3 linked regions of the Macaca fascicularis genome follow. The protein of the gene in region 2 purifies or fractionates together with the protein of the main gene of each other region. This does not show direct contact. Links are inferred from orthologs where the notes say so. Each region holds a gene or a part of one and is shown on either strand. Other genes may lie near its edges. The genes, in order: C1QBP, MAGED2 and GNAS.

Region 1 (6,985 bases), on a different chromosome or scaffold from region 2:
CTAAAAATACAAAAAAATTAGGTGTGGTGGCACACGCCTGTAATCCCAGCTACTCGGGAGGCTGAGGCAGGAGAATCGCTTGAACCCGGGAAGCAGAGGTTGCAGTGAGCGGAGATTACGCCACTGCTCTCCAGCCTGGGCAACAAGAGCGAAACTCCATCTCAAAAAACAAAAACCAAACAAAAAAAGAATTGGCCAGCCTGAGAAGTCCGTTCCTTTAGAGTCTGTGTTCCCTTTTTCAACAAACCTAATGAGGGCTGGCAGAGGGGAATTGGCCAGTGTCTCCTTGGGCTTCCACCATACCTCATGCCGTGTCATCCATAACAGTGCTGCAGTTACCTGCCCATATCTGTCCTTGAGGGCATGGCCCATATTTATTTCTACTCCCAGCGCTTGGCCTATATTAATAAATACGTGCTTAATATGTTTGTACAGATGAGTTAAGGTGGAGGGAGGAGAGTTGAAGAGGGCACAGGTCAGCTGGCTTTGGCTTCTGTCTTAGTAAGGTGAACAGTGAGTCATCTACACAGATTATAATGGTAGCAGAGCTAGAGTCTACAGCTCCTCAAGTATGAAAGTCCCCTTGAGTGTGAAAGACCAAATGCTGGCGGGTGGACGAGAAGGGCAATTAAAGGGTAAGCGGAAGATTGCCTAATTGCCATGTGTACAGCTTCAGCTCAGCATATAATTATGGACCCCAGTTATCCACTCACCTAACCGTCAGTGTCCTGTGGCTCAGAGCAGCAGTGAAGCTAAGTGGGAGGTGAGGTTTGGAAGGTGAGTGCTGTGTAGCAGTCTTGGAGATCATAGTTGTCAGTGCTGGCTCTGGGGCGGGCAGGGAGACCATTGTTGGGTAAGTAAGGGGTGAGGGAGGCGGGGTTCACAGCAAACACGAGAAACACAGCCAGGCGCTGTGGTTCACACCTGTAATCCCAGCACTTAGGAAGGCTGAGGTGGATGGATCACTTGAGGCTAGGAATTCAAGACCAGCCTGGACAACATGGTGAAACCTGGTCTCTACTAAAAATACAAAAATTAGCTGGGCCTGGTGGCTCGCACCTGTACTCCCAGCTACTCAGTGGGAGGCTGAAGTGGGAGGATGGCTTGAGCTCAGGAGGTGGAGGTTGCAGTGAGCTGAGATGGCGCCATTGCGCTCCAGCCTGGGTGACAGCGAGATTGAGCCTCAAAAAAACAAACAAAAAACAAGAAACAGGAAGGGGAAAGACAAAATTGTATTCTGTAGGTTCCGAGTTCAACATTTGGAAAAGTAGACATTTGGAATGCTCTAGTTCCACTAGACCTTTGGTTTTCGCTTAAGGGGGACTCAAGGACCATTGTGTTAGAATTCAGTGAAGTCAGGATGTAGGGAGGCTCAGCACAGATGACTGAGGATGTGTTGGAAAATAGGGATGGGTTACAGAAGATGGCACTATATTACAAGACTTAGGAATATTTTGGATGTGACGGTGCTCAGGTGGTGGTCATGGGATAGAATATGCTAAACTACCTATTAGCAGGGTTATAGTGTCTTTTAGAGAAAGCCAAATATATTACCTGTGAAAGTGGTAAGAAACAAGGGTAACCTATTTATGCCTACTGTTTTGTTAGTGGAACGCTAAGCCTGGGGGAGTTATTGATCCCCTACTGCTCAAGGTCATCGCCGAGGTCTGATTTTTCACACAAAAAAATTGCAACCTCTGGCATAAATGGCTCAAGGACAGATGATTCCTTAGCATAGTGGAGGGGCTGAGCCACCAAGGAGTCGGGAGCCAGTTTTACACTTAGGTGCTTACTGATCATATTACAGATCGAGGGGAAGACATGTTTTCTGCCCGTACTGATCATGCATGGTTGGTACCTCCCCTGTGATACGTACCTGCTTCAATCTTGTGTAGACTTGGAGTCTCATCTTCCTGCTAGGCTCTAAAAGCTCCAAGCTACCAAGAGTTTGAATACAATCATACAATCTTTGTGGTCAGTAGTTTCCTGAGGTGAGGATGTTTGATTAGTTCCTCTGCAGATTTGATCTTAGCTTGAAGACTGTTGGTGCTGACGGTTTCCAGACAGCTGTTTGAAGGCTGCAGGACAGAGGTCCAGCAAAGCCAAAGAGGGGCAGTCGTCGGTGGCCTTCATGACAAATTACACGACCTAACTAATTCAAACTGGACTCAGGAGACCTCATCTAATGTGTAGCATTCTCATTGATGACAACTTTTAACGATGTATCACATGTCTTTCATGACTAGAATACAATTTAAGCTAATTCTTCTCCTGTTTAAACCTAGGCCTGTGATACCTGGGCTGTGATCCTCTAGAGCCAGCGTGGACTCACATCATTCTACGGGTTGAAGACCACTCACTCCCTGAGGAGCCTTGGACATACAAGCCTTTTATTTATAACTTATTTTGTATCGAAACTTTTAACCGATCCTGAAGGAAAAAAAACTTTTCCGACATCTCTGTTCTTGGTCTTTTGTGACGCAGGTTGAAGCGGGAGGAATAGAATAGATACACTGCTTTGGAGGAGATAAACCAATTTTATGTCTATCATGTTATACAAAAATCTAGAAATAATAGATTTGTACAGGAAAAATGATAATGAGAGCGCAAAACATATAATTTAAATTTGGTGTTTTTCCCCATGATATTAGGACGATAATCATTTCAAAGCAAATGTCTAGCTTCAGAGTAGGACTTGTTCACTGGCCAGAGCCTGCCATGAAACTAAGGCTTTCAGCGTCTGTCTGCTCTACTGGCTCTTGACAAATCTCTTGAGGTCTTCAAGAAAACTAATGTACTCCTGGTGCTCCAGGGCTGTGCTGAGCTCCACCAACTCATCTGCAAAAGTGTTGTCCACCCCTCGGTCCGCAAGGAAATCCATTAGGTGGTCATATAAGGCCTGCAAAGAACAACATTTACTAGTTTAAAAACAAAAAAAAATCTGTAATGAACATTAAAATGTTTCTTTCTCCCCTTGAACTAGGACCCTTCCTTCCACGGCCCAAAAGGTTCCCCCATCTTATCAAGCACTCACCCAGTCCAAGGAATCTGTGTTGAGTGTGTAATTAGTATCCTTCCATTCAGACTCGCCACTGGACTGAAAGCTAACTTCCCTGATAGAGAAGATGTCACTCTCAGCCTCGTCTTCTTGTCCAACCTGAGAAGAAACAATATTTGGGGAAACTGAAGGGTTCTCCAGGATAAGCCAGACTCATGCGAAGAAAGGGGGCCGCTGACAGCATGAAACTGATCAGGTTTTAACCCTCTTCCCTCACTCCCCTCCCCTCTCCCCCTGCTGGGCTGGTCTAAGCTAGAAAGTCTTTAAATTTATGCTAAAAGGGACAGGAAGTTCCCAAGGGACACGCTGTGCTCCCCAGGGGTGCCAAGGGGCTAGCACTCCATCCTACATACCTCATCCTCTGGATAATGACAGTCCAGCACAAGGGCCTTCTTGCCATCATTCTTTATAACTTCAACCACGAAATTGGGAGTTGATGTCAGTTCAGGCTGGGAAAACAAGAAGTCAGTACATGCCACTGCTGGAAGGAGATGGATGCCTGGATCAAGGATCTCTGTTCAGATTTCTCAGAGCCACCATTAGGATGTTATGTAGCCATTTTAATAGTCTTATGCCATACTATTCCCAAAGGAAGAGCTTGATCTCACTTCTGTTGGCACCCTGCTTGTTTAAGTAACACACTGGATTTTCAATTAAGAAATCTGGATACCAGCCGCCTCAGCTATGTGCCAATTAACTGAGTTTATATCAGTTCCTTAACATTCCAAGCCTTTTCCTCCACCCATACACTGCAAAGCTTTCCTAAAGTTTCAAGATTCCAGCTTGACTGTTCCAGGAGTCTTCAAAAGGGACCAGGGTCAAAGGCTGGGGAACCTGGCCATCTTTATGGCTGAATAACAGCAGCAGCTTTTCCTCTGATGTGGAGCTCTGGGAGCAGACTGGGTCCAATGTCAGAGAGATGCTAGTTGGGGTTGCTGGGAAAGAAGCACACCAGAGAGCTGTGCCATCCACACCAGGTCATGACCCAACACTGTACTGATGGCTTTTGGGCAGAAGGTCTAGGGACTCTGTGGCCCTCGTACTGGCTGGTTACCAGGCTGGGCACAGCACTTCCTAAAATGTCTGAAGAGTAGGCATGATCCAGTTAAAGTCTCTTATGCCCCTGGCATTCTTTTTTTTTTTTTTTCTTCGAGGCAGAGTGTTGCTCTGTTGCCAGGCTGGAGTGCAGTGGTGTGATCTTGGCTCATCGCAACCTCCGCCTCCCGGGTTCAAGCAATTCTGCCTCAGCCTCCTGAGTAGCTGGGACTATAGGCGCCTGCCACCACACCCAACTAAGTTTTGTATTTTTAGTAGAGATGGGGTTTCACCATGTTGGCCAGGATGGTCTCGATCTCTTGACCTTGTGATCTGCCCATCTCGGACTCCCAAAGTGCTGGGATTACAGGCTTGAGCCACCACACCTAGCCTGCCCCTGGCATTCTTATCTTGGTTAAATGGCTGTTGTGTATTACCAGCTTGTGACTGATATGTTAGGAACATTCCGCACATGCAAACACACCAAATGATAACCTCCAATATAAAAAATCTCCCCATAGGCCGGGCGTGGTGGCTCATGCCCATAATCCCGGCACTTTGGGAGGCCAAGGTGGCTGGATCACTTGAGGTCAGGAGTTTGAGGCCAGCCTGGCAACCACGGTGAAACCCTGTCTCTACTAAAAATACAAAAATTAACCAGGTGTGGTGGCACATGTCTGTAATCCCAGCTACTGGGGAGGCTGAGGTAGGGGAATCGCTTGAACGTGGGAGGTGGAAGCTGCAGTGGGCAGAGATCGTGCCACTGCACTCCAGCCTGGGCAATGGAGCGAGACCTTCTCTCAAAAACAACAAAACTCCCTATCATGGGAAAGGCTGAGAACATTTCATTTCCTTTCCAGCCAAACCACTAAGCCTGAGCTGGCAGACAGCAACGTATTTTGCCCCTGGGAAAAGGAAGAGGGCCACAGTCCTGTTAAAGCTGGCCAGAAACCACTGATTCCTCCTGCCTCAGCCTCCTGCATAGCTGGAACCACAGTCGTGCCACCATGCCCAGCTAATTTGTTTTTTTTTAAACTTTCGTAGAGGCAGGGTCTTGCCATGTTACTCAGGCTGGTCCTCCTGGCCTCAAGGGATCTTTCTACCTTGCCCTCCCAAAGTGCTGGGATTCAGGCGTGAGCCAAGCGCCTGGCCTTAGAGGAAAAAAAAATTTTTTTTTTTTTTAAAGAGCAAAGAAAAACGCTCCTTCTTTAAGTCCCAGGGACAGCCTGTCAGAACTGAGGTAAAAGCTGATCATAGTGTTAAGCTTACCTCCTGTTCTTCAACCTTCTGCTTTTGCGTGGGTTCCTCCTCACCATCAAATGTTGGTGGGATGCTGTTGTTAATGTTGAAAGTGACAATGATTCTAAAAGGGCAAGAGAAAACATAACAGACAAGGCATCATTTTAACTGAGTAGGTTAACACACAAACAGGGAGGTCTGCTACAGTTACAAAGGTGTACTGAAACAATGTCTCTATCCTAGCTGGCTGAATTATATGCAGAACTTCAAACAAGGCTGGTACCTACATCCAGTCCTGAGTGATTCAGCAGGTCTCAAGTGTGCCTACCATGTACCAGCTGCTGGAAGCCAAAGCTGGCCTCAGCTTATCTCAGCCAAACAAGTCATGCATGGGTTACTCCCAACAGGGCCAGTACCCCAGGGCTCACTGCCATGTGTTGACTGGGCATCTCATGGCCACAGCCAGCTGACACTGCCCACCCTGGTCTTTCCAAGGAACCCTTGGTGAAAGTAAGGACCTGGGAGGCTGGTGAGATGGAACAGAAGCCCCTTTAAGAGCCTTTCCCCATAAGAAAATTTGCCCTGCAAGGAAAGGAAGAAGGAGCAATGGAGGGTTGCATCTGTTAAACACGGAGAGCAGCCCTGGCCTCGGGAAGCGGATGCCTCACAAAGAAAAAAACGGCTGTAGTAGACAGTCATCCTTCAGAGTACTTGTGGGAAGTTTTATCATCACAAAGCAGGCCAGAGACACCAACTAGCGACAATTTTAAGGTGCAAGAATCCACACCTGAGAAATCATGTCCCAAAGTTTGAGTCAAAATTCCTGGGAGATAAAGTTTAGAACCAGAACTGCTGGACTATGCAACTCTGGCAGGCACCGTTCCATACAAGTTCCATGAAGTACCGCCCCCTCGACTTGTGCTAACTAGCTGCTTTGCCAGGAAGTCACCTTTCCATAGTAACAGAGGCAGTCTGAGGTTGACACAATCTGTCTGATTCCAACTGTGCTGACCAAGCTGAGCTCCTGGGCACAGAAATGGAATGATGTTCGTCAGAGCATTATTTTTAATGGCCCCCAAATAGCTATGAAAACCTTGTGCAAATGGTTTTTAGGTGAGATTACAGAAGACACAATTGACCTGTGTAGGGAAAAACCACACTACACAATAGCCAAGAGAATTGGTACCCTACTTCACATCATACTCAAAATGAATCACAGACCTCAACTAAGAGCTAAAACTAGAAAACTCTGAAAAAATTAAGGCATAAATCTTCACAACCTTGGGCGAGGCAGTGGTTTCTTAGATGTGACACTAAAAAAAGCACAAGCAACCAAAAAAATAGGTAAACTGAACTTCCTCAAAATCAGAAACTTTTGTGTCAGAGGGCATTACAAAGAAAGTGAAAAGAAAACCCACAAGATGGGGAACAATACTTGCAAATCATTAATTTGGTAAGATCACTATACCCAGAAAAACTAAAGAATTCTTTTTTTTTTTGAGACAGAGTCTCACTCTGTCGCCCAGGCTGGAGTGCAGTGACGTGATCTCGGCTCACTGCAACCTCTGCCTCTGGGCTTCATGCCATTCTCCTGCCTCAGCCTCCTGAGTAGCTGGGACTACAGGCGCCCGCCACTACACCTGGCTAATTTTT
Region 2 (8,289 bases):
TACTTTTGTGACACTCCTTTCTCCTTTTTTTTTTTTTTTTTTTTTTTTTAATGGTGTCTTGCTCTATCACCCAGGCTGGAGTGCAATGGCACAATCTCGGCTCACTGCAACCTCTATCTCCCAGGTTCAAGCTATTCTCCTGCCTCAGCTTCCCGAGTAGTTGAGACTACAGGTGTGCTCCCCCACACCCAGCTAATTTTTTGTGTTTTTAGTTGAGATGGGGTTTCACCATGTTGACCAGGCTGGTCTTGAACTCCTGACTTCAGGTGATCTTCCCACCTCGGCCTCCCAAAGTGCTGGGATTACAGGTGTGAGCCACCACACCCGGCCCTCTCCTGTTTTTCTCTCTGCCTTTTTGGTCACTCCTTATCAATCTCTTTCATGAGTTCCTTTTCCTCCACCTATACCAAAGGTGCTTTTGGGCTGCAGGGCTCTTCCGTGGGCCCATGTCTCTTCTAGCACTGTGCATTCACCAGGGTGCTGTTGCCCTTTCTCATGAATTAAAGAACTATTTATGTACTGATGACTCCTAGATCTATAGCCTCAGCCTAGACCACTTCTCTGAGCTTCAGACATGTATATTCAACTGCCTGTGGTACATTTCCATATGGACATGCCACAGGTGCCTTAAAAGCAATGTTCAGTTCTCCTCTAACCTGCTCCTCAAACCCGCTCTTCCTTCAGTATTCCTGATCTCAGTGAGAGGAGTTACCATTCACACAATCTCTCAAATCAGATCGCCAAGAGTTCCCTTTGACACTCCACTCGTCTTCAGTTACTCAAGTCCAATTACTTTTTACTTCTTTACTATCTCCTCGATTCAATCACTTCTCACTACCTGCCACCACTCTAGGTCAAAGCACAATCATTGCTTACCTAGATGACTACAAAAGGCATAAGTACTCTCCCTGTTTCCAAGACAACACCTATTCCATACTCCATATAGCAGCAAGGTGTTCTTTCTAAAACACAAACCTATGCTGTATCCTTGCCTAGAATCCTTTAATAACTCCTGGGTGTTCTCAGGATCAAGACCAAAGTCCTTATCTTGGCATTCAAAACTTGCCAACTTGCCACGATTTGGAAGGGATTGGGAATTTGAGATGCCAGAAATAGAAGAAAAGGAGGCGCTATGTCTAGTGTGGATAAGGGAGAAAATCTGGGAGGCAAGAACATGGTGAACTGATATCACACACTTGGAGAAAGCAACAATTCAGAGAAAGAGAAAAGACAGGAAAACAGAAGCCTGCCTTGAATATGCAAGAAATTTGTGTGTGTGTCTATCTTGAATTATCCATAGAACATAGGGATTCATGATATGTTATTTACACAGTAAAAGGTGACCACATAAAGCAGGAGACTTGTGTCCATTTGAATTACATTTATATGTGGAAAGGCATTGAATATTATTTCCACAACTAACCGTTGTGCTGAATTTTATTATGGTTTCTAATAACTTTTTAGTTGATGCTCTTGGGTTTTCCAGGTCTGCATTTATATATCCAGTAATTAATGATGATTTGTCTACTTCCTATTATTTTACATCTTATTTTGTTTTCTTGAATAGATCCAATTGCTTATGTGAATTTATTATGTGATAGAGGTGCCATTTCAAAGCAGAGAGGGAAAAGATGGATTAGTTTGCACATGATGTAGGGGTAAGAGACTATGATTTTGGAGAGTAATCAAGCTGAATCCGTATAGAAAATAAATTTTGAAATGATCAAACATCTAAATGTAAATAATAAAGCCACAAAAGTGCTTCAAGGAAAAAAAAACGGGGATTGTTATAGGAACATGAAAAGCATCTTTAAGCAAGCAGCAGGATCCAGTTGTGATGAAGGAAAAATGGATATATTTGACTACATAATAATTAAACATTTTTGTTTGGCAAAAATTATCATAAATAACATGAAAAATATTTGTAATATGTGACACGTACACGAGAGACATTGCTGGTGGGAACGTTATTCCATGTACTTTTTAGGAGTAAGTTGACAAATTTTGTATCTTTTGTTATCAAAATGGAAGACGTTTTTGTAGCATTTGAGCTAGCAAAAAATACCCTAAATAAAAAAAAAGTGCCCCAAACAATCTAAATGTACATGTGTGCTGGACTGGTTCAATAAATTATGGGACATCTATACAAGAAAAGATCATGCAACTGTTTAGAAAAATGTGCACTAACGGAAAGATTTTTTATATATAACTGGAAAAAAACAGGTCGCAGAACAGAAGGTATGTATAGTGTACCATTTGTCGGAGAGAGAACCTGAATAATTAGTATACGAATAGAAAAAAAATCTGGATAGCAAAATGTTAATAGTGGTTATTTCTGGGAGATAAGAGTGGCCTTTCATTGGTATGTTATATATTACTGCATTGTTTTAATTTTTACAACAACAACAACAAAACAACAACATATTACCTTTGTAATAAGAAAAAATGAAGATATAAAAAGAAATTCAATGAATGACTTTCTTTCGGGGGCGGTTTGGGTTGGAAGAGTTTCAGACTGAGCCTGGTACAGTGGCATAAACATGGGCTTTGGCGTCAGACAGCCCTGAGCAGGGCCCCATTGCCCCACCCCCGAGGAAGGCGAGGGGGGGTGGCAGGGGGCTGCGGAAAGGGGCTGGGCTGGGTTGGGCTGTCTGCAGCTCTAGTCCAGGAGGCTGAGACTTCGAGAGGGACTTAGAGAAGGCAGACGCATCCCGAACTCGCTGGAGGACAAGGTGAGGTGCGTTGAGATTGGGGTTTTATGGAGGTCATAGAGTGGTTCCAGACCCCTCGAACCCATAGCCAGGCAGATGAGCAATTCTTACTGCACCACTGCAGCTGAAGCAGAGGTGACCTGGAGTGGTGTGTAGGCAATGAGGACGACTGAGAAAGTGGTAGGCTGTATAGACTGGGAGCAGAGACGAGCGGAGGAGGAGGGGAGAAAAACGGGGAACCAGGAATGTTGGGAGGGGGACGAGGAATACAAGGAGGGAGGGGAACACTAAGGGGGAGTGATCCAGAGAAGAGAATGGGGATGCAGAGAGAGGTTAAGGAATACTGAGGGGCAGGGTGTGCAATCGTAACACGGAGGAGGATGTAAGGAATGGGAAGAGGGAATTCTGGAGTAAATAGAAAATGTGAGGTGGGAATAGGGAGTAAGGAGCCAGGCTAAGGGAATACGGAGGGGGGCATAAGGAATGAGGAGCAGGGAGCGGGGGAGGGGCAGACAGGCTGGGACGGAGGCCCCCTAGGGAGGCGGAAAGGGGCGGGACCACTTCCGGCCTAGAGAAGGGAGGGCAGTCTCTGAGTTTCGGAGGGGCTTGGAGTGAGTGGACGCTCTCGGGAATTGTAGGAGGACGAGGTGAGCAGCCGGGCGGGCTTTTGGATGAGAGCCCCGCTAGGGGTCGGCCGCACCCTCTGGGATCTGGAGAAAACCTGTCATGAGGATCGGATCGTACCGGATCCATCCGGCTGGGAAGGGAGGGGACTGGACCCGGTTTGACCGGGCCCAAGATGGAATCACTAGCTTAATATTTATTTGAGGAGGGGGTGTAATAGGGAAGGGGCGGAACCAAGATGCGCCTGTTTGGAGGGGGGCGTGTTAGGAAGAAGGGCGGGGCCAAGAGACACTGGACTCGGTAGGGCGTGAGTAGGGGAGGGGCCGGGCCCACCAGACACTGCGACAATTTTGGAGGAAGGCTTCTTGGGCAGGGGGCGGGACCGAATGGTACTGCGGACCTGGAGAGGGGCGTGTGTCGGGGCAGAGTGCCAGACTGAGACCACGATCATTGCGCATGCGCACTATGTATCGCTGAAAGGGGCGTGTTGAGAAGGGCCAGCACTGAGACGAGCCAGCTGCTGAATGCGCATGTGCACGGTGGACATCAAAGAAAGGGCTCGTGCTGGGAAAGCGGGCGGGGCTGAGAGCGGCCCTGCAGCCGACGCGCATGCGCTCTATCGACCTGCGGCTGGGTGGGGGGTGCACTGGGAAAAGGGGCGGGGTCCTCAGAGCTGCCGCGCTGGCACATCTTCCTGGAGAAGGGGAGGGTGCGGCTGCAGACAATTGAGACTTAGAAGCTTTGGATTCCTGTATCTGAGAACGGAGTCGTTGTGGGTGGTGGAGGGGGTTGGAATTGGGGACCTACGGAAGGTAAGGATCAGCCTCCAGGCACAACAGGGGAGAGGACGTTCAGTGGGCTTCAACTTGACCCAGGCCTTCTCCTCTTCAGGCTCAGCTCTTGCCAGGCCAAATTGAGACATGTCTGACACAAGCGAGAGTGGTGCGGGTCTAACTAGCTTCCAGGTAAGGCCTCTTTCTGTCCTTTCCCCAGCTGCTTTTCCTCTCCAGCCCTTGTTGCTGCCCTAAGTCCCTTGGCTCTTCTCCTCCCATCCTTGTCCTTCTCCACCTACTTTCCTGCCTGGGTGTCCCCCTGCCCAGTGGAGGGAGGGAGAGAAGGTGGGCGGGCCCCTCTTCTGCCTTCAGTTCTTGCTCAGAGGAAAGGGAGGCCTTGTTCGGCTGAGGTGGTCAGAGCACACCGCAGGTACGAGTACAGGTCAGAGAAGTGTGGCCTTGGAATTTTGGAACCATTTGCTTAGTTGGGGGTGGGGAGAAGGTCTGTGAACTTCCCTGCTTCCTCTTGCAGGCTGAAGCTTCAGAAAAGGACAGTAGCTCGATGATGCAGACTCTATTGACAGTGACCCAGAATGTGGAGGTCCCAGAGACACCGAAGGCCTCAAAGGCACCGGAGGTCTCAGAGGATGTGAAGGTCTCAAAAACCTCTGGGGTCTCAAAGGCCACAGAGGTCTCAAAGACCCCAGAGGCTCAGGAGGCACCTGCCACCCAGGCCTCATCTACTACTCAGCTGACTGATACCCAGGTTCTGGCAGCTGAAAACAAGAGTCTAGCAGCTGACACCAAGAAACAGAATGCTGACCCGCAGGCTGTGACAATGCCTGCCACCGAGACCAAAAAGGTCAGCTGTGTGGCTGATACGAAGGTCAATACTAAGGCCCAGGAGACTGAGGCTGCTGCCTCTCAGGCCCCAGCAGATGAACCTGAGCCTGAGAGTGCAGCTGCCCAGTCTCAGGAGAATCAGGATACTCGGCCCAAGGTCAAAGCCAAGAAAGCCCGAAAGGTAAGACCTCTGCAGTCACCACCCTTCGTTTTCTACTCCTCTCCTCTCAGTTGGTTCATTTGTTCTACAAACATTTCGAAAGATCCCTGTGCTCATCAGGGCTGTGGGGGGCACTGAAAGTAATGTGATGTAATTCTTGTCTTCAGAGAGCTTGCAGACTGATGGGGAGATGAGACAGGAATACACATAGCTGCAATCTGAATATAATGCAGTTTATATTTACATAGTAGCTGCCCTGTGTTAGGCCTTGAGCTAAGCACATTTATGCAGGTTATCTCATTAAATCCTGAAAGTAATTCTCATAGCCCCAATTTTATAGAGAAGGAAGCTGAGTTCCAGAGAGGTGAAGCAGTTTTTCTAGGGATGGTTCAAGCAGAGCCAGTAGTGGGCACAGAAAGAGAAGAAGACTCAGCCTCCACCCACCCTTGGTTTGCTCCTGGCCTGCTAGGCAGATGAAACACTTGCTTGGAAGTCAGTGAGAAACAAACCCAGGGTTCAGCATAGCCAACATCTATTAAGTCGGGCTGTTACTACAGGGACGGGATTGGCGGGTGCTTCCTGGAAGAGATAGGGAGAGGAAAAGGACCACCTGTTTCATCTGGTGATGTTGAGCTTCTGTTGATGCAGGTGAAGCATCTGGATGGGGAAGAGGATGGCAGCAGTGATCAGAGTCAGGCTTCTGGAACCACAGGTGGCCGAAGGGTCTCAAAGGCCCTAATGGCCTCAATGGCCCGCAGGGCTTCAAGGGGTCCCATAGCTTTTTGGGCCCGCAGGGCATCAAGGACTCGGTTGGCTGCTTGGGCCCGGAGAGCCTTGCTCTCCCTGAGATCACCTAAAGCCCGTAGGGGCAAGGCTCGCCGTAGAGCTGCCAAGCTCCAGTCATCCCAAGAGCCTGAAGCACCACCACCTCGGGATGTGGCCCTTTTGCAAGGGAGGGTAAGAACTCTGTCCTTTTTACTCTGCCTTTTCTACTGCCTTGGCTGCCCTTTTCTTTGCCATCGTCTCAAGTTTTCAGCAAACTTGTTTTGGTCTTTCCATCTTTTTCTACTCTGCCAGGCAAATGATTTGGTGAAGTACCTTTTGGCTAAAGACCAGACGAAGATTCCCATCAAGCGCTCAGGTAAAGTCCTACCAATCCTCCCTCTACCCTAAGCTCTGCCCTCCATTGCCCTTGCATCATTGTGCTGGGGATATCTGCTGCTCTTATGCTTATATCTCTGTCCTCCCAAAGTTCTAATTTGGCAGTGCTAGCATCTCTGTTGATAAGCGCAGAACCTGGTTATGCCACCCTTGGTGTGGTTGGCAAAGAGTCTATAGCTTGGGCATCAGGGCCACCTGGCATCTCTTCAGTCAGGTGCTTACACCACTTTCCCCTTGCAGACATGCTGAAGGACATCATCAAAGAATACACTGATGTGTACCCTGAAATCATTGAACGAGCAGGCTATTCCTTGGAGAAGGTGAAGGGGCAGCCCTGGGGGATGGGCACAGTGGGGAAGCCTTGAATTGAACAAAAATGTGCAAGTTCCTTCTCAGGGGAACCAGAGAGACCTGCTAATCTAGCTCCATCACTATGCTGAGGGGCAGACAATGGCCTAGGGAGGGGTGTAGATGAGCGATGGGTCACACAGCAAGTCAATGGTAAAAGTACAGTTAGGACCCAAGGCACCCAACTTAGTCCTGGCTTCTGTCCACAGCTCATGCCATGTATTTCAGATTTCACCTCTCCCTTTCATTCCCCATTCTCTGTCTCCCTAGATTCCCACTCATCGCAAAGACGATAATGACAATAGTACATTTGCTGCATGTTTACTGGGTGCCAGGCACTTAGCTATGTACTTTGTGTGCATTACCTCACTGATTTCTCACACATGCAAAACTCCTAGGTACATAGGGAGCTGCAGCATGCCCCAGAAGCTGAATTTTGTCATCTCACAAGCTGTTCTTCCCATCCACAGGTATTTGGGATTCAATTGAAGGAAATTGATAAGAATGACCACTTGTACATTCTTCTCAGCACCTTGGAGCCCACTGATGCGGGCATACTGGGAACGTAAGCTGGGAAAGGGCTGAGGTGTGGGGGGTTTCTGCTTTGGCCATGTGCTGCTACCCCTTCTTTGTCCTACTTCCCCCATCCTCTTAGAGAGTCAGGAAAGGCAGGGACTCAAAAGCCCCGTCCCAGTTCCCATGCATAGTTGGAGCCCTGCTCACAGTAGTGATGCCTGATTATGATTGACTGAAGGGTGTAGGAGCCTGAGGTGGGACATTCCTGCTGTCAGCTTTGCTGTTTCTGTAGAAGCTTCCCAGGAAAGCAGGCCTGTCATTGCTTGCCTCTTCCTACTGGGTGCCTGGCCTGGCCTTGGCAGAGTGGTTCTCAAGGAGGGCTTCCTGGTGTGGGTGGATCAGGATGCATGAAGCGCAGGAGTGTCAGTGGGGCTGAAGGTTCTGGGAGAGAAAGAAGGGATTCACATGGACTGAGTGCTTGTGTTGTACCAGGTTGACAGCCATTCTTCCGTCTTCTTGGAAACCCAGAGAAGGGAGAATATGATTTTTCTATTTTACTGAATAGTAAACTGAGGCTTGCAAGTCTAAGTGCCTTGCCCAGGGTGGCATAGAGCTGGCAGCAGAGACTGGGCAGAATTCTGTATCTGAGGCATCTGGGAGAGGCTAGCCTAGTGAGCTGGCTGGTGTGTCTGTGGTGGCTGCTGGACATAAACCTCTCTGTCCTGTTATTTCTCTAGGACTAAGGACTCACCCAAGCTGGGTCTGCTCATGGTGCTTCTTAGCATCATCTTCATGAATGGAAATCGGTCCAGTGAGGGTGAGTGGCTGGGCATGCAGCTGAATGGGTGGCCATGGTCTGGATTCCATGTGTTCAATTTCTGTCCCTGTCTCCTCTTGCCTCCCCTCGCAGCTGTCATCTGGGAGGTGCTGCGCAAGTTGGGGCTGCGCCCTGGGTATGATTGGGCTCTCTCAGCGCTTGCTGTCCGTGTTGTCCTTTGGCAAGAGAGGATGGTCCTAGGATTGCATCAGTCTGGTGGTCTGGTGGAGCGGGTGGGGTGCTGGACTGGGTAGAGGGCCCAGGGTTCTGACCTGGGTGGATGATGGGCCTGAACTCTCTGCTCCCTCTATCAGTGTCTCTTGGGCTTCTATGGAG
Region 3 (8,178 bases), on a different chromosome or scaffold from region 2:
CTAACACAGGGAAGCAAGTCTCAAACACATCAGGGTGACTGGTGAGGGCAGAGCCCTGACCTGGTAGGGAGGCAGGAGTATGGCCAGTGCCACGGTCTGTGGGAAGAGGCCCCACCCAACTACCTGGGTGTGGAATCCCATGGTGACCTGCAGGATTTTCGACGGGGGTCACAGGTCATGGACTCCTGATAACTGACATCATGGGAAGAACACCAGGAGACCTTTTTCTCTTTTCTCCTGCATCTTCCAGGACAACAGTATCTTGTAGGGACCAAGCAGTGGGCTTTGGCTACTTGAGTTTGAAGCCCATCTTCCCTTCTCACTAGAGACCTCTCTCGGGGCCTCTCTGGGCCTCGTTTACTCACTGTCAAAATAGCAGCTGAACCTATCCCATTGGGTAATGGCTAGCACTAGTAGATACCTGATAACTGTGACTTTTGTGGCCTTTCTTCTAGAAGATACCATGAAGTCTCTGTCAGTTATGACCAACAAGGTGGGGCTCTGTGGTATCATTTTCCTGGGCATCTCTATGGCCTGGGAATTTTGTGTTTTCTAATTTTGATGGATATGTGGCTAGAGCTGTGACAATCTCATGTGGATTATGCTTAGACGGTTCCAGAATTTCTGTGCAAAAGGGGCATACAGGTGGCCATCTTGGAAGAGGAGCTAGGGGCTGGTCTTGTGGTTGCACTTGATAGCCACTGTCCAGGTTTTAGGTGTTTATTTGGGGTGCTTTGGAGGATTATGGGAACTTGTAGGCTAGTCTTTTGGTTATATTTGCATAGCAAGCCCCAATTTTTACTTGGATTGTATATTTATTTGGGGGGTTTTGAGGGCTTTGTACTAAAAACTGCATAGCAAGCACACGTGGACTGAATGTTGTGTGAAAAATTGGATGGAAATGCAGGTATTTGCTACTTTTCTACCCCCCTTGGGGCTCATCGCTCGCCTCTGGTGAGCTATATTGTATGATTAATTTGGGTGAGAGTAATTTGATCTGGAAACTAGAATAGGAAGTGGATTTGGGGCCTGGATTACAGAATGAACTTGAAGTCCCATTTGCCCAGCTTCAGAGGGCACCATCGTTGATGCTGGTCACTTCCTCCCACCCTTCCTGGGAGCCACCCAGGAAGTGACCACGTAAGTGACAACACCTTGGGGGATAAGCCTAGGGGTGAAAGTCTAGGGAACCCACAGGACCTCAGAAATAAGCCACACTCCAACCCATTGAGTATGGACTCCCATCCTCACTCCCAATTATAGTGAATATTGTGAGTGATGGTCCACATATCCTGAGGTTTATTAGCTATTTGTATTTAAGTTGCATGCTTATATACTGTGCCCATTTTTCTGATGATATTGCTTATTAATTCATAAAAACTCTGCTTATTAAGTAAACCCTTTGTTAAATTTTTACCCAACCCAGGCCCTTCCCCCATTCAAATTTGAAGTGTGATTTTCATTTTTGTAGTCATCCCCAACCCCCTTAAGGCCTTTAGGTCTCAGGTTATGCTGCAGAGAGGCCCTTTATAAACCCAAGAGTTTAACTGTAAAATAGCCACTTTAAAAAGTACGTCTTTTATTTAGATGTATGTGATCAACTTGTCAAATTCATTTTGGTGTGTGCAATGAGGTAGGGATCCAGTCTAAATTTTCCCCAAATGGCTACACCATTTCTTGAATAACCCCATTGATTTGAAACACGGCGCTCCTATATTTCTCCACATCATTTAGTCCCTATCTTATAGCAAAAAATACACTACTTTTCTTAGGAAGCCTGGGTCAGCAGGCAAACTGTGTGATGATGTAATGGCATAAGTTGGCAGAATCTTTGGATAGGATGGCAGTGATCAAAATGTAGAGGTGACCGGGGCATAGTGGTCCACTATGGGGTAAAAGTTTGGGAGATCAACAGGAGTGGACTTTTCCTATTGTCTGAAAATTATTTCAAGACACCTACATTTTACAGTCACCAGAAAACATACAGTGGTGAGATTTTATACCCACTTCACCTTGGGGCCTCCCAACTTTTGATGTAAGGGCCAAGTCAAACCATGAATGACAGGAATCTGCGCAGAACCACAAATAACTCACGGGAGTCCCATCATTCTTTGCTCACATTTAATTTTTATTTTGATTTTTTTTAATGCTGCACAACACAATATTTATTTCATTTGTTTCTTTTATTTCATTTTGTTTGTTTGCTGCTGTTGTTTTATTTATTTTTATTGAAAGTCAGAGGGAACTTCTGTGGCCTTTTCTCCTTTTTCTGTAGGCCGCCTTAAGCTTTCTAAATTTGGAACATCTAAGCAAGCTGAAGGGAAAAGGGGGTTTCGCAAAATCACTTGGGGGAAGGGAAAGGTTGCTTTGTTAATCATGCCCTATGGTGGGTGATTAACTGCTTGTACAATTACGTTTCACTTTTAATTAATTGTGCTTAAGGCTTTAATTAAATTTGGGGGTTCCCTTCTTAGAGCAGCTCGTACTGACGAAGGTGCATGCGCTGAATGATGTCACGGCAGTCGTTGAACACACGGCGGATGTTCTCAGTGTCCACAGCGCAGGTGAAGTGAGGGTAGCAGTAGTGACGCCCATCTCCACTGGCAGTGCTGATCCTCTGCGGGTACAAACGCAGGGACTCGTCAGTGACACCCTCGCCAGGAACCACCCTATCACTGATGGGGACACCTACCAGGGACGGCTGTTGGCCAGTCTCTGATGTCATATGAAAACGAAAGCAAAAGGAGGGGTGCAAAGAACTCAAATCCACACTGGATGTGCGTGAACTAAAACCATGGACCTGGGTAGCTGAACCCCTGAAGTAAATTTACATCCATGAGAAAAAGAGGAGGAGCAAGAGAGGAAACTAAAGACAGGCTCAACTCACCAGAAACTCATCTCGAATGAAGTACTTGGCCCGGGTCACGCGTGGGTCCTCTCCGGGCTCGGGAGTAGCTATAAAAAAAAGGGAATATATATTAATGTAATTAAAAAGTCAAGCAGAGCTGGGGTGCTAGCATCATTGTAGCTCCTGAAGTCTTCAAAACCCTGATTTTTCCATATGAGAATTAATGCAAGTGTGTTTTTCTTGCTTCTCTTACAGATCCTTTATGGTTTGGTGGTGGGAGGGGGATGGCGGCTTTCAGCCCGACTGTTTGAAAAAGAACCACTGCAATGAACAGCCAGCAAAAGAGTGGAAGCCATACACACCATCCTCAGGAGTAGTGTAGCGAGCAAATTCTGGAAAGTAGTCCTCAATCTTCGATTTCCCAGCAAGGACTTTCTCAGCGAGCAGATCTTGCTTGTTGAGGAACAGAATCACAGAGATGGTGCGCAGCCATCTACAAGAAGGGAGGCCGTGTGAATGCCCGGGAGAAGCGCGCTTTTGGCCAGGGGTCTGGAATGCTTGCACAGGGTTCTTTTCTACAAACAGTGCAGACCAGGGCCTCCTGGGCAAGCGCAGGGGGTGGGCGGTCACTCCACAAACCTGTTGTTCCAGATGCTCTTGAAGAGGTTCAGAGCCTCCTGCAGGCGGTTGGTCTGGTTGTCCTCCCGGATGACCATGTTGTAGCTGCTGCTGGCCACCACGAAGATGATGGCAGTCACATCTTAACCAAAGAAAGCAAAGCCAAGAGCGTGAGCAGCGACACTGATCCCTAACAACACAGAAGCAAAGCGTTCTTCACGAACAGCCAAGCCCACAGCGTCCTACCATTGAAGCACTGGATCCACTTGCGGCGTTCATCGCGCTGGCCACCCACGTCAAACATGCTGGTGGAGAGGAAGACAGCTGGTTATTCCAGAGGGGCTGGGGTAAATGTCAAGAAACCATGATCTCTGTTATATAAAAAGGTAACAGTGGGCTTACTGGAAGTTGACTTTGTCCACCTGGAACTTGGTCTCGAAGATTCCAGAAGTCAGGACGCGGCAGCGAAGCAGGTCCTAGAACAAAATTGAGGTCAATGGATCTCAGCAAAGCCAATCGAAATAGTAATAATTTCCAATCTAAAGCAAAAGTCTGGGGTAGTTTGGGAAGAGGGCTCAGGGTCCTCTGGTGGTGAAGGGTTTTGCACACCTGGTCGCTCGGCACATAGTCAGCCTGCTTGATCACATCGATCTTGTCCAGGAAGCTGGGAGAAAAAGAAAGGCACATGGGGTGTTCACAGCGTTCACATTAATTTGCCAACTATTTGTGTCTCTCTACAAGGTCAGGCTCAACGGAAGTGACCGTCCCACAGTTATGCAGCACTAAGTCAATGGCATATTTGCTTGTGTGTTGGTTACATTTATAACTCAAAGCTGATGCCTTAAGAAAGTTAGGCCAAATGGGATTTAAGATAAATAATTTTAGGAATCAGGGAACTCTAGATGCGTCTAGCAGCTAGCCTGTGGCCTCGGTGCAGTGGGGCCACACAAACAGCACAGGACAGTGGTGGGGCTTTGTTCTTCATGTTTATTTTTTTCTATTTTTCTTTTTTCTTCTTTACTTAGCTTGTTTATTCCTGTTGCTCTCTGGTAATATTCTTGATTTTTAAAAGGTTTTATGCATATCAACCAGTAGAGAAAGGACCCCAAAACCAGGCTGACCTATCACAATCTGTGCCATTTGGTAATGCTTGACAAAAACATTTCAATTTTCAAATTTCCTGCCTAAAATGGCAGTTTGAAAATTGTATACCTCTGTATCATTCAGTTAAAAAAATAAATAAATAAAGTGACATTCTTAAAAACATCAAGGACTTTCTCCTCAAGGGCACATGAGATTGTTTTAGTTACTGAGAATCTATAGCCCTTCCTTTTCACTTTTTAAGAATCTCATTGATTAAAGGGAACAAAAGAGGTTGGCACAAAGGGGCCTTCTCGCCCTAGCCATCCTGAACAGGAAACAAACACAAAGTTCTCTTCCGTTCTGTTTGGTCCATGAAATAGAACGCTCCAGATATTAAACTTTTCATTTAAAAAGCATCTTGTTTGTGTTGCTTGACTAGACACACAGGAAAATTTACTTTTGAAAGATTGGGGTAATTTAATTAATACAGAAAATGCTAAAACCAGTTTATTTTTTGGAGGGAGAGGCATGTAGAGATTGGAATTGTTTTAAAGTGGGCTAATGAGAAAAGAAAATCATAAAGAGAGAAAAGTCTGTTTCAAGAAACTGCCTAAGTTTTGTGTTCCCCTCTTCCTTTTTACTAGTTCAGGGTTAGTCTGGCTTAGAGGATATACTAACTTGCCCAATCAATCTTACATTACAGCACCAGTCCAGAAATAGCTCCCCAGCCGCCCTGGCCTCCAGCATGTTACCATGGCAACAGAACCACAGTTCTATAAATAGATCATCAGCACCAAATCTTGTGAGAGAGACATCTGGAGTGGAGCCAGCCAAACCCCAGCTCAACAAATAAAAATAGGCAGCTTAAGAAATGGGCACGGTACCAGTATCCCAACTTTAACATAAAGGCAGTTCAACAGAAACGTGCCGGCCACGGCAGATGCAGGGCTGTTTGAGCCAGCGGTGAGGGAGGACATTTTAAAGGTTTTAAGCTGCGTTGTTCTCTTTTTCTCTGAGTTTCCTTACAACTTTTCATGATCTATACAAATGGTGCAGTTTTCAGACAAAGTTTCAGGAGTAATTGAGTGTTGCATTAAAAAACCCCAAAAACTTCTAAATGATTTGAGAGAGAAAATGAAACCCAACAAACTTCAACCACCTGGCTAAGCTACTGTTAATTAATGCAGCTGTGACTCCCTGCCCCCCAGCATTCAAAACTGGGATGGTTAAACTCTCCTAATCTTGTACCTGTACTTCACTTCTGACTTGGATCCAAAATACAAAATGCAAACAATTCCAGGATTTCCATTTGTTTTGCGTTACTATAATTAGCGCTTCCAGCTTTTAGTTCGAACTTTTGAGAAAATCAGGGACTTTGTTGAAGAAGGAGTGGGGGCTGGGGGCCACAGGGACCAGCCAAGATGGACTGTTTTTCTGTTCCTTGAAAAAATATACAAATTTGCTTGTATATTAAACCGTGGAATATCTGTGTATGTGGCAACTGAAAATAATCAAAGGAATTTCCTATGGGAAGGCAGGGCTGGGGTTGATAGATTGCACAGACCCTAACATAGGCTTATATGATTTATAGATAAACAGTATTACCTCTTCCTCCCTCCTGTTTATTCAGGTGGTTTTCACAATCAGTTCCTTGGGCTTGAGGCTACTAAGTAAAGCAATCTTAGCCCTTGGTGAGTCAGCCTGGCACCTTGGTTCTGATTAGTTAATACTTCCTATAGCAAAATCAGTTCCGAGTTTCAGCTACTTGTAATAAGGACAGCTAAAACATCAAACCTCTACTAGACTCCCCTGTCCCGAGTCACAAGACACTCCTACTTCATAATATTAACTGAGACTGCTTTGTGCATTTGTGCAGCATCAACAAACAAAAGATATCTTTACATTTTTGGCTGGGCGCGGTGGCTCACGCCTCTAATTCCAGCACTTTGGGGGGCCAAGGCAGGCAGATCACAAGGTCAGGAGTTCGAGACCAGCCTGGCCAATATGGTGAAACCCCATCTCTACTAAAAATACAAAAATGAGCTGGGTGTGGTGGCGGGCACCTGTAGTCCCAGCTACTCAGGAGGCTGAGGCAGGAGAATCACTTGAACCCAGGAGGCAGAGGTTGCAGTGAGCCAAGACTGCACCACTGCACTCCAGCCTGGGCAACAGAGTGAGACTCCATCTAAATAATAATAATAATAATTATCTTTACATATTTTTTAAATAACCCTGACCACCATATGCTTGCTATATCATGTGCAAGATGAGGGAGGCCATAAACTATTTAAAAGGCAACTTTCTAGCTATGGGGTGTGATGTCCTCTGGGAGAGACCATGGTGGGTGACAGGGACAGAAGGCAATCCCTGAGGGAACGGTAAGTCAGGTGTTAGGCAACAAGAGTAGCAGCGTGGGCATCAGGTGGAGTTGTGCAATAAAATCTGTTTCGTAAGTTTCCCCCTTCTTCATTTACCAACACACTAAGCAGGCGAGCCCACCTTTATGAGTGACTTTGGAGAAAGAGGACTTTCCCATTGCTACTGCAGGCCTTAACCCATCCTCCTTGCAGGTAGTAATTTATTTGAAAATGACCCCACCACGGTACTGTACTGCTTAGGTGTACAGTTTAGGATTTAAAATACACTGACTACTTACCATCCTTGAAATCAAGAGCCGGGGGGAAGGAATAAATAAGGACATGAAATAGAGTTCAAAAGTCAAGACAACACAAAAGCAAACTCTACCTAGAGTCACTCAGATCTAGTAACACTAGGCAGCTACTGGAGTCTCTTACCTGAGAGCAGAAATAGAGCAATCAACAACTACCAGTGAGAGAGGAGGCGTAGCTGTCTTCACTGTTCCTCTTTGTTATGTTTTAAAATTACAGCAATAAAATGTAGTATTTTTACATTATTCAAAATGTGAGAACTGCCCTATTTCTGTAAATGCTTTGAGTCAATTCAATTAATTACTTCCCAGTAATTAGGAATACTATGAAACTCATCATCATCTTGCTCTAACAGACATTCAATGTTTATATAAAATAATGTCCCTGCACTAAAAAAAAAAAAAAAAAATGCAATTAAGGACTTTATAAAACAATTCAATCAGATTCGAACTTTCTGCCAGTGGGGTAACTGGTTGGCTTCTACGAAAGGAATCATCGACAAGTAGCTTTCCAAGCAGGATCACAGGTTTGCATGTTTTCTTGTGTCTGCCTGTTTTATGTGCCGGTGGGTCGGGTGGGGTTACTTACTACTGGGCACAGTCAATCAGCTGGTACTCGTTGGAGCGTTCATAGCAGGCACGTACTCCTTCGTCCTCCCACAGAGCCTTGGCATGCTCGTAGAATTCCTGAAAGTGAACACAAGAAAGTTGAGAGAAAGACAAGAACTTGAACTAATCAAGGACACTGTCATTCGAACCCCGAGACCAGAGTTCCCTATGTGACCGACACTTGGTGTGATTCTGAATTTTGAGCCCAATTAATGAATTAATGCTCACAAAGAACTTTAATTCAACACGTTAAACATATTCAAAAGTTCATGCAATTAGCTGCTGGTCTTATTGTGAATTACTGGTTTTGGGTAGTTTCTTTTTGTGTGTGGGGGGGGAATGGGGGGAGCTA

What was found.
Region 1: the proteins of MAGED2 (region 2) and C1QBP purify together in Homo sapiens (affinity purification with mass spectrometry; 3 studies listed by BioGRID and IntAct, counting the BioPlex papers as one, with this or other methods). This does not show direct contact. The link is inferred for Macaca fascicularis from reciprocal best matches to the Homo sapiens genes MAGED2 and C1QBP.
Region 3: the proteins of MAGED2 (region 2) and GNAS purify together in Homo sapiens (affinity purification with mass spectrometry; 3 studies listed by BioGRID, counting the BioPlex papers as one, with this or other methods). This does not show direct contact. The link is inferred for Macaca fascicularis from reciprocal best matches to the Homo sapiens genes MAGED2 and GNAS.

What each region holds. Positions count from the first base shown.
Region 1 is NC_088390.1:5,495,672-5,502,656, forward strand, and holds the end of C1QBP (complement component 1 Q subcomponent-binding protein, mitochondrial), read right to left. Parts: intron 5,457-6,985; coding exon 5,363-5,456; intron 3,508-5,362; coding exon 3,412-3,507; intron 3,158-3,411; coding exon 3,035-3,157; intron 2,980-3,034; exon of another isoform or gene 2,900-2,979; coding exon 2,750-2,899; 3' UTR 2,518-2,749; downstream 1-2,517. Other genes in the region: RPAIN (RPA-interacting protein), read left to right, coding at 2,286-2,315.
Region 2 is NC_088395.1:54,795,317-54,803,605, forward strand, and holds the start of MAGED2 (melanoma-associated antigen D2), read left to right. Parts: upstream 1-2,674; 5' UTR 2,675-2,737; intron 2,738-3,302; exon of another isoform or gene 3,303-3,358; intron 3,359-3,995; exon of another isoform or gene 3,996-4,147; intron 4,148-4,226; 5' UTR 4,227-4,255; coding exon 4,256-4,300; intron 4,301-4,640; coding exon 4,641-5,132; intron 5,133-5,759; coding exon 5,760-6,068; intron 6,069-6,188; coding exon 6,189-6,252; intron 6,253-6,512; coding exon 6,513-6,592; intron 6,593-7,090; coding exon 7,091-7,185; intron 7,186-7,873; coding exon 7,874-7,953; intron 7,954-8,046; coding exon 8,047-8,089; intron 8,090-8,289. UniProt on the Homo sapiens protein: Regulates the expression, localization to the plasma membrane and function of the sodium chloride cotransporters SLC12A1 and SLC12A3, two key components of salt reabsorption in the distal renal tubule.
Region 3 is NC_088384.1:114,959,937-114,968,114, reverse strand, and holds the end of GNAS (guanine nucleotide-binding protein G(s) subunit alpha isoforms XLas), read right to left. Parts: intron 7,905-8,178; coding exon 7,807-7,904; intron 4,131-7,806; coding exon 4,076-4,130; intron 3,943-4,075; coding exon 3,869-3,942; intron 3,772-3,868; coding exon 3,713-3,771; intron 3,609-3,712; coding exon 3,488-3,608; intron 3,342-3,487; coding exon 3,211-3,341; intron 2,956-3,210; coding exon 2,888-2,955; intron 2,618-2,887; coding exon 2,471-2,617; 3' UTR 2,108-2,470; downstream 1-2,107. UniProt on the Homo sapiens protein: Guanine nucleotide-binding proteins (G proteins) function as transducers in numerous signaling pathways controlled by G protein-coupled receptors (GPCRs).